2 linked regions of the Macaca mulatta genome follow. The protein of the gene in region 2 purifies or fractionates together with the protein of the main gene of each other region. This does not show direct contact. Links are inferred from orthologs where the notes say so. Each region holds a gene or a part of one and is shown on either strand. Other genes may lie near its edges. The genes, in order: FKBP5 and SGK2.

Region 1 (3,819 bases), on a different chromosome or scaffold from region 2:
TCGCCATGCTGGCCAGGCTGGTCTCAAACTCCTGAGCTCAGGCAATCCGCCCGCCTCCACCTCCCAAAGTGCTGGGATTAAAGGCGTGAGTCACCACGCCCAGCCGATATGTTCATTTCCATAAACATATTTTTTTTAAGTCTCCATTTCGTCCACATAAATGGTCCAACTTTTAAGGACTAGTTCCCTCTTACTTTAATACTTACTTTCTACTGTTGCTCCTTCGTTTGGATTTGAATATCCCTCTCCTTTCCGTTTGGTTCTCCGGATAATGCCTCCATCTTCAAATAAGTCCTCTCCTTTGAAATCAAGGAGCTCAATCTAGAAAGAAAAAAGGAATTCAGATGAGAAAAGACCAAATAAAGCCAATTTAACATATGTGAAGGCAAGGGCAACCAATTATTTCATTTTACAAAATAAAGCTGTTTCAAAATGTATACATTCATTTATGCATCTTAATTATTGGAAAAGTAGCAAAAAAAAAAAAAAAAAAACCCACTATACTTTTCCATACTTGGAAAGAATTTCACATAATGATAATGTCTAGGACTATATCCTAAGGGACTGCGGTGCAGAGACAGGAAATACTAGGAACACTACCCTGTGGGCAAAAACCCAGAGCTTTACAAGGTGCTGGTGTAGAACAGTTTGTCTGAGGCCACAACTTTCCCACCCTGGATTTATGGAGTTCCCTTCTCAAAATGTAAACATAAATTTCATGAATGTGGCCTATGACTGATTAAAGGTATATTTTACCTAGCTGGGGTAGTTCTTAAAAATCAAGTTTTGCCAAATATATGTAATTTCAACACAGGTTGAATAATGTTTTATCACCATCAAACACTTCTAGAGAAGTGAGATCTGTGACATATAAACCTTTATAATATGAAAATACCCTGCAACTTGACATAGGCATATTTCAACATTTATTGCCAACATTTCCATCCTGCATTCTGGTCAATTTTGAGTATGTCACACTCACACCATGGACCAGATTCTTTATTTCTAAGTGTAGTGTCTTTTGCGTATTTGGATATGACCTTTTTGTGGTGGAAATACGTTTCTCAAAAAGCACTGGCACGTGCACCCTTGGGTTTGTGGGAAACAATCCAAGAAGCCATGCTCCAAAATAAGTAAGTTGGATGTGATTCTCTATAGCTCCTTTTCCCACTGCCTGTTGCTTCAAAGCCATTCCTATTGTAGAGCAGATGCTGACAAGGCAACATCACACACATACTTGCCTCAAAAAAGAGAGTTGCATTCGAGGGAATTTTAGGGAGACTGCCAGCTGAGCCATATGCATATTCTGGTTTGCACAGTAAATGGCATATCTCTCCTTTCTTCATGGTAGCCACCCCAATGTCCCATGCCTTGATAACTTGGCCTAAGAGAAAGGAAAAGGTAGTTGAAAGCTATCAGCCCTATTTAAAAATATTTAACTTTCATTAAACAAAAGTTCAAATTTCCAGTTTTTCATACTACATATTCAGCTAGAAAGTATGGGCTACAAGATGACCGAGTGCTACATACAAATAAATAAATATTTATTTATTTCAAGGCTATCATAAAAGATTCCCTGTTGATCGGCCCAGCACTTTGGGAGGCTGATGTGGGAGGATCGCTTGAGTCCAGGAGTTTGAGACCAGCCTGGGCAACATAGCAAGACCTCATCTCTTAAAAAAAAACAACAAAAAAAACCCCCAAGGAACACAGCTGGGTATAGTGGTGCACACCTATAGTCCCAGCTACTCCAGAGGCTGTGGTGGGAGGACTGCTTAAGCCCGGGAGCCCAGGAGGTTGAGGCTTCAGTGAGTCAAGATTATGCCACTGCACTCTAGGCTGGGTGACAGTGAGACCTGTCTCAAAAAGGATTCCCTGCTGAAAGGGATGAAAGTAGTATAAATTCCTAAACTACTCAAAAATTAAGTCTTTGAAAACTGGTGGTAACATTATCCATGAAATATGGCTGTGTTGCAACTGTTGCTTAATTTATCATTTCAACTATAATAAGCACACATTTTCTAGGCAAAGATAGAACAAAAATAGTATTGAAAAATAGAGTTTGTCCTAAGGAAGCTTGTAATTTAGTTGGGTAGACAAAAACAAAACAAAACAAAACAAGAAGTAACCAGAACAATATAAATTGCATAAAAGGGTCTATGAAACACATTTCTTCTCGAAATTTAGAATCAGAAAAAGGTTTCTTTAAACAAAAACGTATGTGTCTTTTTGTCAAACCACAACTACAGAACTTAAAATGTTTTATTTTTTGCCTACTTCCAGGAAACTAAGTTAAATTTACTGCTCAATTGTAGGACTATATTAGGCTATATAATTGTAATCTCAATGTTTACAGTTCCTATGATGTGCATCATTATCTTACTGTAAGCAGTATCAAGTCCTTTGGGAAACAATAGAAAATTCAGGCAATTTAAAAGGCTAATTACATTTTGGTGGGGCATAGTGGCTCACGCCTGTAATCCTGGCACTTTAGGAGGCCAAGGCGGGTGGATCACTTGAGGCCAGGAGTTCAAGACCAGCCTGGCCAACATGGTGAAACCCCGTCTCTACTAAAAATACAAAAATTAGCCAGGCATGGTGGTATGTGCCTGTAATCCCAACTACTTGGGAGGCTGAGGGAGGAGAATCACTTGAACCTGGAAGGCAGAGGTTGCAGTGAGTAGAGATCATGCCACTGCACTCCAGCCTGGGCAACACGGCAAGACACTGTCCCAAAAAAAAAAAAAAAAAAAAAAAAAAGGCTACATTACAAATGAGGTACTTTGTTAATCAAAAACATTAAGTATCTGGGGGTTGGGCACGTTGGCTCACGCCTGTAATCCCAGCACTTTGGGAGGCCAAGGTGGGCAGATCTCTTGAGCTCAGGAGTTTGAGACCAGCCCAGGCAACATGGTGAAACCCCATCTCCACAAAAAAATATTGAAAAAATGAGCCAGGCGTGGTGGTGCTTGCCAGCTACTCAGGAGGCTGAAGAGGGAGGATTGCTTGAGCCCAGGAGGTCGAGGTTTCAGTGAGCTGAGATCATGCCACTGCACTCCAGCCTGGGCAGCAGAGTGAGACCCTGTCCTGTCTCAAAAAACAAAAACAAAAATGTAAGTATTCAAAGTGGGATCAGATAAGAGATGAACCCCAGAGGAAGTGAATTTGAAGTGAGCTGGTGGTAGGATATTAGGACAAGTGAAACCCTACATAACCGTATGTAAGCAGGGATGGATAAACCATTTGTCATTCATGATTTTAGCTTAATCTTCATTAAATATTACAACTTTTCCAAATGTAAGCTACATTTATTTCAGTTAAAAATATATGTTAAGTGGCCAGGAACAGTGGCTCATACCTGTAATCTCAGCATTTTGGGAGGCCAAGTGGGAGCATCCACTTGAGCCCAAGAGTTTTAAGACCGGCCAGGGCAACACAGTGAAACTCCTTCTCTACAAAAATTTAAAAAATTAGTGCAGCATGGTGGCACATGCTTGTAGTTCCAGATACTTTGGAGGTTAAGACAGGAGAATAGCTTGAGCCCACGAGTAAGAGGCTACAGTGAGCAATGATTATGTCACTGCACTCCAGCCTAGGTGACACAGCGAGACCCTGTCTCTTACAAAAAAAAAAAAAAAATTATTCAAGTAATACATGCCTATTATTAAAACACCCATGAAAGAGATGGAAAGTCAAAGCAGAAAGGCCATCCATTTGTTCCTTATAAGTCACTGTTTTGTTTCTTTGGTATCCTACTGTGTGCTGTACCTTTTTAAAAAAATTTAAAACACAAATGACAGTGACCTAGACATTCAGTTC
Region 2 (3,819 bases):
CTCTGAATTGAGGAACTAGGTGGCTGGAAGGACTTTTTCTGGATACTCTTTTGTACCCTTTGAATTTTGATCTATGTGAATGTATAACTTATTTTATTTTATTTATTTTTTTTTTTTTGAGACGGACTCTCGCTCTATCGCCCAGGCTGGAGTGCCGTGGCCGGATCTCAGCTCACTGCAAGCTCCGCCTCCCGGGTTCACACCATTCTCCTGCCTCAGCCTCCCGAGTAGCTGGGACTACAGGCGCCCGCCCCCTCACCCGGCTAGTTTTTTTGTATTTTTTTAGGAGAGACGGGTTTTCACCGTGTTAGCCAGGATGGTCTCGATCTTCTGACCTCGTGATCCGCCCGTCTCGGCCTCCCAAAGTGCTGGGATTACAGGCTTGAGCCACCACGCCCGGCCTGTATAACTTATTTTAAGAGTCATACTTTTTTTTTTAAGATGCAAATTTTTGCTTGGAACAGGAGACTTATCTTCATGGAAACTCCTGTTCTTTAAGCTGGCCAGGAGTAGGCAGCAGATGCCCTAAATGTTGTTATAATTTACAGTAACTGAATGTAAAGCTTTTGGTACAAACACTTAAAAAGCACTTACTGTGCGCCAGACACTGCTGAGAGCACTTTGCATACATTAATACTAATCCATTTCATCTTCAAAACAGCTATATTAGGTGTTACAATGGGGAAACTGCGGCTCACAGAGAGAAACTAAGCAACACGTCCGAGGTCCTGTAACCAGTAAGTGGTGAAGGAGGGATCTGAACCCAAGTAGTCTGCCTCATAGTCCATTCTTTTTTTTTTTTTTTTGAGATAGAGTCTCACTCTGTTGCCGAGGCTGGAGTGCAGTGGCACCCATCTCAGCTCACTGCAACCTCCACCCACCCCGTGTCTCAGCCTCCTGAGTAGCTGGGATTACAGGCGCCCACCACCACGCCCGGCTAATTTTTGTACTTTTAGTAGAGACCGGGTTTCACCATGTTGGCCAGGCTGGTCTCGAACTCCTGACCTCAGGTGATCCGCCCGTCTTGGCCTCCCAAAGTGGTGGGATTACAGGTGTGAGCCACTGTACCTGGCCTAGTCCATTCATCTTAACCACTGTGTTAGAAAAGAAAGCAAAAGCCTGGTGAGAAAAGTATTGTGGCCTTCTTTTTGTAAATCCAAATTATCTTGTGTTGAATTTAAAAAGTAGGATTATTTTTAAAGTGCCACTTTAATGAATGAATATAATGAATTTGCTAAGAATGGACTATGAATCATTTATCCCTATATCCCATTTGCCCAGCCTGGGGTCTGGCAAGGAAGAAGTGCTCAGATATTTGTAAAAAGCAAGTGCTGGCTCGGTGCAGTGGCTCATGCCTGTAATCCCAGCACTTTGGGAGGCTGAGGCGGGCAGATCACTTGAGGTCAGGTGTTCGAGACCAGCCTAGCCAACATGGTGAAACCTCGTCTCTACTAAAAAAAATACAAAAATTAGCCAGGCATGGTGGCGGGTGCCTGTAGTCCCAGCTACTCAGTAGGCTGAGGCATTAGAATTGCTTGAACCTGGGAGGTGGAAGTTGCAGTGAGTCGAGATCACGCCACTGCACTCCAGCCTGGGCAACAGAGCCAGACTCAGTCTCAAAAAAAAAAAAAAAGGCCAGGCATGGTGGCTCACGCCTGTAATCCCAGCACTTTGGGAGGCCGAGGCGGGCAGATCATGAGGTCAAAAGATCGAGACCATCTGGCCAACATGGTAAAACCCCATCTCTACTAAAAATACAAAAATGAGCTGGGCGTGGTGGTATGTGCCTGTAGTCCCAGCTACTCTGGAGGCTGAGGCAGGAGAATCTCTTGAACTCGGGAGGTGGAGGTTGCAGTGACCTGAGATTGCACCACTGCACTCCAGCGTGGCAACAGAGCGAGACTCCGTCTCAAAAAAAAAAAAAGCAAATGCAGTCCACTCTCCACAAAGAAGCCAGAGGAATCTTCTATAAACTTAAATCAGGTCATGCCACACCTCTGCTCAAAACACCCTAAAACTTGCCACTCTCCTCGTTGTTCCCATAGCAGGACGTCTGCACATGCTGTGCCCTGTGTCTGGGGAGCCTTTGCCCAGCTGTCTTCATGGCTGCCTCTTTCTCATCCTTAAGCCTCAGCTTAATTGTCACCCCCTCAGAGAGAACTCCCTGACAATGCCAGTATTAATTTGCTCCCCTCCCATTATTGTTTATCTCAGCTCATTGTTCATTTTCTTCCTGACATTTGTCATATCTTGTGATAATTGTATATAATGTTTGGGTTTTTTGCCTACCCCCAACCCCAGACTTTTTGTTTTTGTTTTTGAGATGGATTTCTGCTTGTTGCCCCGGCTGGAGTGCAATGGCATGATCTCAGTTCACTGCAACCTCCGCCTCCTATGTTCAAGTGATTCTCCTGCCTTAGCCTCCCAAGTAGCCAAGATTACAGGTGCCCACCACCACGCCCAGATAATTTTTGGTATGTTTAGTAGAGGTGGGGTTTATAACATGTTGGCCAGGCTGGTCTCAAACTTCTGACTTCAGGTGATTCACCTGCTCTGGTCTCCCAAAGTGCTGGGATTACAGGCATGAACGCTGCACCCAGCCCCCACCCCAAACTTAATAAGGGCAGAGACCCAGTCTATTGAATCCCTAACACGTAGCTCAATACCTGGCACATAGTTGGTGCTTAGTAAATATTGATTGACTAAGAGAACTAGACTAGAGAAAGCAGTCAGCTAGTAGCAGTAGTGAATTTCCAAATGAACAAGTGAGCAGTGTCTGGTTTTAGAGGGCAGCAGGGTGCATGTTAATGTGCTTCTGAGCTGCCTCTGCAGGAAGCTGCGGGTCCCTTGAGGGCCAGTGCTCCACTGGCAGGTCACCTACAAAGTCTGCTTTGGAGCCCAGCCGCTGCCTCTGGTCCTTGTGGAGAAGGCTTTGCAGGAGGTCACAGGCGGCCACCGTCCGGCCCCCAGGGATCTGTAGCGGCTGGTGCAGAATGTTCTCATACATCTGGGACACGTCTTGGCTGTAGAAGGGCGGCTGGGGAGAGAGGGAGAGCAACTGGAGGATCACCCATGCAAAAGTGAACACAGGCTCCGGGAGACTTGGAGCAAGGTGGGCGCTGGGAGGACTCAGCATGACCCCCGTCTTGTGCAATGGCTCGCATGGCAGACTGGAAAGAGACAGGACTCCAGGTTTCCGGCACGATGGAGAGAGTTGCTAGGAAGGCCAGAAGCCTCTTCCCACCAGTGTGAGGCCCATCTCTTTTCATCTAGCTTGCTCACCAACTTTGCATTTGGCAACATTTGCACTTTCACCTTCATCATTTCACCCCAGTCTCATAACTATCCTCCAAGAGAGCTGTAATTTTTCAGATAAGAAAACAAGACTCAGAGCAATTATGCTGCAGTTAGAAAGAGAGCCAGGCCCCAAACCATATCCAGGGTCCCCTTCTCTTTCTTACTATTCTTCCTCCCAAGCCTCTTCCAGCTGTTCCTTCCCCTTAATCCACAGAGTCTGTTCCTTCCTAGGAACCAAGCTATGTTGGTGAAACCACCCCCAAAGCAAAGCATGACCTAGGGCAAATCTACACATGCCTCTACCTAAGCAGGCAGCCTAGGACTGGGGCCAGGGGTGGTTCCACAACCTATCAGGACTGTGATCTCTCTTGGTCTCCATTTCCCTATCAGCAAAATATGAATAATTCCATTTCCTTCTGTCAGTCTCCAAAGGCTATTTTGAGGCACCCAAGGTGAGACAGTGTGTTGTAAACAATAAAGTGCTACACTAACTTTTTTTTTTTTTTTTTTTGAGACAGAGTC

Evidence for each region.
Region 1: the proteins of SGK2 (region 2) and FKBP5 purify together in Homo sapiens (affinity purification with mass spectrometry; 3 studies listed by BioGRID and IntAct, with this or other methods). This does not show direct contact. The link is inferred for Macaca mulatta from reciprocal best matches to the Homo sapiens genes SGK2 and FKBP5.

Annotation. Positions count from the first base shown.
Region 1 is NC_133409.1:146,649,335-146,653,153, reverse strand, and holds part of FKBP5 (peptidyl-prolyl cis-trans isomerase FKBP5), read right to left. Parts: intron 1,385-3,819; coding exon 1,242-1,384; intron 322-1,241; coding exon 207-321; intron 1-206. UniProt on the Homo sapiens protein: Immunophilin protein with PPIase and co-chaperone activities. Component of unligated steroid receptors heterocomplexes through interaction with heat-shock protein 90 (HSP90).
Region 2 is NC_133415.1:96,414,734-96,418,552, reverse strand, and holds part of SGK2 (serine/threonine-protein kinase Sgk2), read right to left. Parts: intron 3,038-3,819; coding exon 2,882-3,037; intron 1-2,881. UniProt on the Homo sapiens protein: Serine/threonine-protein kinase which is involved in the regulation of a wide variety of ion channels, membrane transporters, cell growth, survival and proliferation.